Ovis aries: one gene and its partner. The protein of the gene in region 1 interacts with the protein of each later gene in a pairwise test. Links are inferred from orthologs where the notes say so. Each region holds a gene or a part of one and is shown on either strand. Other genes may lie near its edges.

What was found. The genes of interacting proteins can lie anywhere in the genome.
Region 2: the proteins of FLACC1 (region 1) and SULT2B1 interact in binary tests that used the Homo sapiens proteins (3 or more experiments, as listed by UniProt). The two-hybrid records come from large-scale screens. The link is inferred for Ovis aries from reciprocal best matches to the Homo sapiens genes FLACC1 and SULT2B1.

Annotation. Positions count from the first base shown.
Region 1 is NC_056055.1:203,676,299-203,680,442, forward strand, and holds the start of FLACC1 (flagellum-associated coiled-coil domain-containing protein 1), read right to left. Parts: upstream 2,863-4,144; 5' UTR 1-2,862.
Region 2 is NC_056067.1:54,985,759-54,989,408, reverse strand, and holds part of SULT2B1 (sulfotransferase 2B1), read right to left. Parts: intron 3,358-3,650; coding exon 3,218-3,357; intron 1-3,217. UniProt on the Homo sapiens protein: Sulfotransferase that utilizes 3'-phospho-5'-adenylyl sulfate (PAPS) as sulfonate donor to catalyze the sulfate conjugation. Responsible for the sulfation of cholesterol.

The sequences.
Region 1 (4,144 bases):
TTTTTAGATTCCACATATAAGTGAAATCATACTGTTTGTCTTTCTCTGACTTGTTTCACTTGGCATAATAGTCTCTAGGTCCATTCATATTATTGCAAATGGCAAGATTTCATTCTTTTTTTGTGACTTAGTAATATTCCATTATATCCCTCTTCACAACATTCTTTACTAAAATTTCCGTTGGGTTTGGAATCAGTTGGGTCTGATTTTGCACAGGAAATCTGCTTATCATCTGTGGGACATCAATAAATGTACTTTCATTTTTATGAGTCTCAGCTTCCTCATCTGCAAAATGGGGAAAAAATTCATGCCTCCTCACTGGGCTCTCAGGCACATGAAATGAGACCATGTCATGAAAGTTCTCAGCACACTGCCTTGCATACATTAGGGTTTCTAAAACTGGCAATTGAGTTTAGGAACATTATGAAGAAGGTATTTTGTTTACAGAAGCTTTTATTTCTAAATTTGTAGGAGAATAGGCTTTTAAAAAAATATGTGTTAAATTGAATTATGTTTGTTGTAAAGAAAATAACACAGAAAAGCCCAACTAAGTAAAAATAATCCAAAATACTAGCATCTAGAGGTGACCACTGAAAATATTTTGGTGAGTGCCCTCTAGAATTCTCTCTAGTCTAGAGAAACAGATGCATAATTTTCCATAAATGAAAGCAAATTCTACTTACATCCTAGATATGACTTTTTAAACATATAGTCAGTAACTATATACATATACAATCATAGAATTATTTTTAAACTTAAGTTTACTGTGGGGAAATTCCTAAAATGTACAGAAGTAGAGAAAAGAGTACAGTGAACTCACACGTATTGTCACCTAGCTACAATAACTAGCAATTTATGGCTAGTCTCGTCCATCTTAGCTCACCTTTTTAAAAATTGGAGAATAATTGCTTTAAGATGTTGTGCTTGTTTCTGCTGTACAACAATGTGAATCAACTGTAAGTTTACATATACACCCTCCCTCTTGAGACTCCCTGCCCCTCCCCCACCCTACCCCTCTAGGTCATCACAGAGCAGTGAACTGAGTTAATCCACTTTTCTAACACTAGATTATTTTAAAGAAAATTTAAAGCAAATCTATAATTTTAATTATTTAAAACAAACCTTTTAAACAAGACTGAAGACTTCCTTGGTCGTCCAATGGTTAAGAATCTGCCTGCCAAAGCAGGGGGCACAGGTTTCATCCCTGGTCCAGGAAGATTCCACGTGCTGCAGGGAAACTAAGCTCACGTGCCACAAGTACTGAGCCCTCACACCCTGGAACCCATGCTCCACAACAAGAGAGTGGCCCCGCTCACTGCAACTAGAGAAAGCCCACGTGCAGCAACAAAGACCCAAGGGAACAAAAAGTAAACAACAAAAAAAAATTAAAAAGCCTGAAATTTGTTTCTATATTATCATGACTTTGTAAATTTCTCTTCTATGAATGTACCCATTTATAGTTTTAGCTAGCTTTGTAAATAAACATTTGCTTGTTTCCTTTTTTCCCGATTATGCCAATTATGAGCAATGCCTTGGTGCATATTCTTTTGCTCTTAAAAAGTAAAGGCTTCCAAATACCCATGGGAATGATACTCAAAATTATTAACAACCAGTAAGACAAGGGTATGGAACAAGCAGAATAGTTGAGGGTTATGGAGTGTAACAGGGTGACAGAGGACCCCACTCCCATCCCCATACCAGGTAGTAACCACTCGCTGAATCCTGAGGAGGTCTGGGGGTGCCAGGAGAATTGTGGAGGTAACCAAGGAGGCAGGCATGACATTTGAGGGGCTTGAACAATGTATATGAACAGCCAGTATGGCAGTATTTTATATTTCAATAACTGTGCATACAAGCTAAATGTCACCCCTCTGCCTTCATATTCCTCCAAGAGGGAATCACTGTTAACAGCTTTTTGGGTATCTTTCCAGAAATATTCTATAATATTTAAAAAGTTTTTACACACTACACCATGCCTTGCCTTTTTTGGTGTATGTATATCTGGACTTTCCAGGTGGCTCAGTGGTAAAGAATCTGTCTGCCAGGCAGGAAACTCAAGTTTGATCCCTGGGTTAAGAAGATCCCCTGGAGAAGGAAATGGCAACCCACCCTAGTATTCTTGCCTGGGAAATCCCATGGACAGACCCGCTTGGGAAGTTACAAATCCAAGGGGTCACAAAACAGTTGGACACGACTTGGCAACTAAACAACAACAGGGTATCTAATAGATATTTCCATATCAGCATGGATAGATCTAATGCATACACAGTGGCTGGATGTGCATTTTATGGCTCCAAGACTATAGGGGTGTGTGTATGTTTTAGAATCTTGCTCCTCACTCTTTTCCTTTCCTATATCTCTTTCTGATGATTTTACCTGAGACTCATGGACTGAATGTGCCAATTGGTGACCCTGTAGTCACCAGTGTGCAGCTGAGCCTCACATTAATAATCAGAAGAAAAAAATTTTTATGAAACATTTTTCCAAAGAGCTTACCTTGGACTGCCCAAAGATTCGTTTTCCCCATGTAGTTTCTTTTCAATTCAAGAGTCTTAAAGTCACCATAAGGTTAGAGAAGCTCTTTTTCATCAATGCAAAATCAGAATTAATTTTAGGTCAAATCCGGAGGGTTCCAGGATGCGAGACTTTAGTGGTCATTCCAAGTGATTGAAATGCCAGAGCAGAAAATCCACAGTTTTCCAGGGAATCCAGTCAAAGTCTTTCACAAAGGCTGACCTGGCATGAGCATGAATTTCCCTTCTGAAGACAATCCAGTTTGAGTCTTCTAGTATTGCAATGTAAGTCAAACCAGAGGAGAAAGTCACTCCTTCACTCAGACTCTCCAGTGAGAGTTGGAGTTGTGAGATATTTCCTTAGCAGATGGTGGGGGAAGGTTTGTTTCTTTTATTGCTATGGAAACAGAACGGCAGCATCTCATTGGCTCAGGCCCTCAGCTCTTAAGAGAGAAGTCTGGAGAAGCAGCCATTAAGAAACTCTCCAAGATGTGAGACAAGGTATGTTTAAGACATACTACCGGAGGAAACAGAATTAAGTAGCACTCCTAGGCTTAGTAGGCTGTCGCAGGATCTGTGGTGGGTTTTAAATTCTTGTCATTTGCTCACAAAAACCTAAAACTCTAAAGCAGGCACTTTCTTCCTTGAATTTTAGGCTTTGAAATCTGTTAAAGTGCCAGGACCCCGGGGTAGGAGTCCTTTTCAATTACCAAGAAGCTCAGATTTTTTTTGCCGGAAAAGAAGACTGCTTTTACTCATTACAGAAAAAAAGAAGCTTGTTTATCAAAGACCAGTAACTTTTATTTTTATTCTACCGCACCTCACTGTATTGTACATGAAAGTGAAAGTGAAGTCGCTCAGTCGTGTCCGACTCTTTGCGCGACCCCATGGACTGTAGCCCACCAGATTCCTCTGTTCCTGGGATTTTCCAGGCAAGATACTGGAGTGGGTTGCCATTTCCTTCATATTTTATTTTAAAAAATTGCATGAAATAATACCCTTATTACATACTATTTTATCTTTCTTTTTAAAATAATTTTAAATTTTCATTTATGTTTAAAAATTATTTTAAAAATTTATTTTATATTGGAGCAGAGTTGATTAACAATGTTGTGTTAGTTTCAGGTGTACAGCAAAGTAATTCAGTTATACATATACATATGCCCATTCTTTTCCAAATTCTTTTTCTATTTATGTTACTACAGAATATTGAGCAGAGTTCCTTGTGCTATACAGTAGGTCCTTGTTGATTATCTATTTTAAATGCAGTAGTGTGTACATGTTAAGACCAGACTCCCAATCTGTTCCTTCTTTTACTATTTTTAACAATTCTTCTATTTAAAATGAAAGCTGATTATAAATCTACTTTATTGATTTCATGATTTGTCATAAGCCAGAGCTTTTAGAACATTGGTATAAGTTCATCCATTCATTCTACTCCATCAGATCAGTTCAGTTCAGTCACTCAGTTGTGTTCAACTCTGCGACCCCATGGACTACAGCACGCCAGGCTTCCCTGTCCATTACCAACTCCTGGAGCTTGCTCATATTCATGTCCATCGAGTCGGTGATGCCATCCAACCATCTTGTCCTCTGTTGTCTCCTTCTTCTCCTGCCTTCAATCTTTCCCA
Region 2 (3,650 bases), on another chromosome or scaffold:
AGACCCAGAGCTGCAAAAAAAAAAAAAAAAAAGATATATGATGGTTTGTAAGCCTCTGGAAAAATGCTCCGCTTCATTAGCCAGCAGAGACATGCGAATACAAGCCACAGTGGAATACTAGAGCACATCTGCTAGAATGATTTTGCAGGGACTTTCCTGGTGGTCCAGAGGGTAAGACTTCCTGCTTCCACTACAGGTAGCATGGGATCTGTCCCTGGTTGGGGAACTAGGATCCCACATTCTCTGTGGTGTGACCAGAAAAAAAAAGAAGAATGGTTTAAAAAAAAAACCTCGACAATATCAAGTGTTGGCAAGGAAGCAGAGCCTCTGGAGTGCACCGATCTTGCTGGTGAGAACACAAGAGGGTAAACCAGCTTTCCCCAAAGTCCAAGATGGTTTCCACTTTGGAACCAGTTTAGCAGTTTCTCAAGTTAAGCATATGTACTTCCATAAACTCAACAATTCCACTGCTAAGTATTTACTGAAGATAAGTGGAGAAGTATTTCCATGCAGAGACCTGTGTGAAATGAATTATGGCAGTTGTATTCGCCATACTCAGCCCAACCTGGAAACAAGCCAAGTGTCCTTCAGCAGATGAATGTATAAAACCCGCACGGTCCATCCATTTTCTGGAGTACTCCTCAGCAGTAACAAATACAACAACTTGGATGAATCTGAAAAGCACCCCTGGGGGCAGGTGTAGGAAGGAGAGGGAGGGACAGATGGAGAGAGTAGCGTGGAAACGTATGTAACACAGACAGCCAATGGGAGTTTGCTGTCTGACTCAGGGAACTCAGACCCAGGCTCTGTGACAACCTGGAGGGGCGGGGAGGGAGAGCGACTCAAGAGGGACGGGACATATGCATACCAATGGCTGATCCCTGTTGACATATGGCAGAAACCAACACAATATTGTAATTATCCTTCAATCAAAAATAAATTAAGAAAAAAATGAAATACATTACTCTGAGTGCAAGACGTCAGTCTCAAAAGTTGCGTGGAGTTTGACTCCATGTGTGTGGCGTTTTGGGAAAGGCATAACTACAGGGGCAGCAAACGGATGACTGGTTGCTGGGGGATGGGATGAGCAAAGAGCTGATCACAGAAGGGTGTGAAGGGGTTTTTGAGGGCAGGGAAAGCACCGAGCCCTAACCATTCAAGGCGCCAGGGTGTTCCCTGAACCATTCTACATCTCAATTGTAGTGTTTCCTGTGTACGTCTTTCAAAATTCGTAGAACTCCAAGAGAAATGAAAACATGTCCATAGACACATTTGTATATCAATGTTCCTACAAGCCTTATTAAGAGTCAGAGAGTGAAAACAACCCAACTGACTGCTTATCAACTGATAAATGAATAAACATAACATAGTATACCCAACAGTATACCCCTTCAGAAAAGAATCCACCAGCAGTGCAGAAGACGAGGGTTCGATCCCTGGGTTGGGAAGATCGCTGGAGAAGGAAATGGCAACCCCTTCCAGTATCCTTGCCTGGAGAATCCCATGGACAGGGAAACCTGGCGGGCTACAGTCCCTAGTGTCACTGAGAGTCAACCGAAGAGGCTGAGCACACAGGCAGTACACGCATATCACGAAATATTATTCTGCTATAAAAAGGGATGAAGCACTGATAATGATGTGTGTCAACCTCAAACATGCTGGAACTTCCCCGGTGGCTCAGCGGTAGAGTCTGCCAGTGCAGGAGACAGAGGTTCGATGCCTAGTCCGGGAAGATCCCACGTGCTTCAGCAACTAAGCTCCAAAGGCACCACAGCTACTGAGCCTGGGCACCAGAGCCTGCAAAGCCACAAGTCCTGAGCCCATGTGGCGCAACGACAGGAGCCTGTGCAACCTAGAGCCCCTGCTCCACAGCAAGAGAAGCCACCGTAATGAGAAGCCCAGGCACTGCAACCGGAGGGCAGCCCCCGCTTGCCACAGCCGGAGAAAGGCCACGCACCCACGAAGATTCAGCATAGCCAAAAATAAATAATAAATGAATAAAATTATTTTTTAAAAGTAGGCTAAGTGAAAAAAAAAGCCAGACACAAAAGACCAGCTATTGTACTATTCTACTTACACGAAATGTCCAGAATGGGCAAAGTCATAGAGTAAGAAAGCAGAATAACGGTGCCTAAGCCTTGGGGGTGGGGGGGTGGGGGTTGGGAGGTGCCGGCTAATGGGTACAGGGTTTCTTGTTGAAAGTGAAGTGAATGTGTGAATGCCTCAATCATGTCTGACTCTTTGCAACCCCATGGACTGTGGCCCGCCAGGCTCCTCTGCCCATGAAATTCTCGAGGCAGGAATACTGGAGTGGGTAGCCATTCGCTTCTTCAGGGGATCTTCCTGACCCGGGGATCGAACTCGGGTCTTCCACATCACAGGCGGATTCTTTACTATCTGAGCCACCAGGGAAGCTCTGTAAGTAATGGAAATGTTCTAAAACTGACTATAGTGATGGTTTGCACAACTCTGTGAATGTACTACAGCCAAAGGACACTCTCCAATGGGTGGATTTGGAAGCACACAAAGCGTATGGTATGAGAATTATTCTTTTAAGTGTTACCCAAAAACTCCTCATAGAACTCTATGTTGAAAACGGTGAATATAATATTTTGAAATTCTTCAAAAATATTTTGAAAAAATATCTTTGTTCAGAGCTGCGTCTCTGCACCTGGCAGACAGTTAGTAAGCAGCATTTCAGTAACCAAGTGGAGAAAATTAAGATCTTTCCTTCCGCCCTCTCTTCCTCCCTTCTTTTCACAAATATTTATTGAACGTGTTTCACTGTTTTAGGCTCAGCGAACACGGTCACGATCAACAGGAACCAGAAAATCTACCCTCATGGAGCCAGGTTCTAGTGAGGAAGACGGACACTAAATCAACCAATGGAAATATAATACAGTGGCTGGCAGGGAAGACAAGTGTGAGGAGAGTTCAAGGATGGAGAAGCTGTTTTAGCCAGAAACGTCTCCAAGAGCCAGCGTAGGGGCCGGGGAGGGAGCGAGGCACCCAGGGGATCGGGGAAGGGTGCCCCCTGGCGGAGGGACCGGCCATTGCAAAGCCTTGGCTCTGAACAGACGAAATGGGTCCCAGTCCCCACCGCGCCTCCCGCGTTCTTCTCCCCCTTTGTTGTCGGTGTCCCCCTCTCACCCTCGGCCCCACACTCACCCAGCACTCTCCCTAGTGCCCCCCCCTCCCAGCCCGGTCCGGCAGGTACCTGACTTGGGGTAGGTGACGATGAAGATGTCATCGTCCTGTACTTCGGCGTTCTCTACCAGGCTGATGCTCTCAGGCGAGTAGATGCCCACGGGGAAGAGGATGCCTTTGTACCTGAAGTATTCGCCGGACAAATTCTGGCTGTAGGAAGGTAGGGGAGACACCGTGAGGACCGGAGACGAGGCACGGACAGAGGTCACCCCTGAGAGAGCCTTTTTAAAATTTTAATTAATTAATTTATTATTTTTTGCCATGCTGCCTCATGCAGGATCTCAGTTCCTCGACCAGCGATAGAACCCACGCCTCCCAGTGGAAACTCGGAGTCTTAACCCCTGGACTGCCAGGGAAGACCCAAGGGGCCTGCGTTTGAGCGTCCTTCGTGGTCCCAGGAGCCTGCCCAGGGGTCCAGCTTTACAGCAGAAGCTTCCGGAACT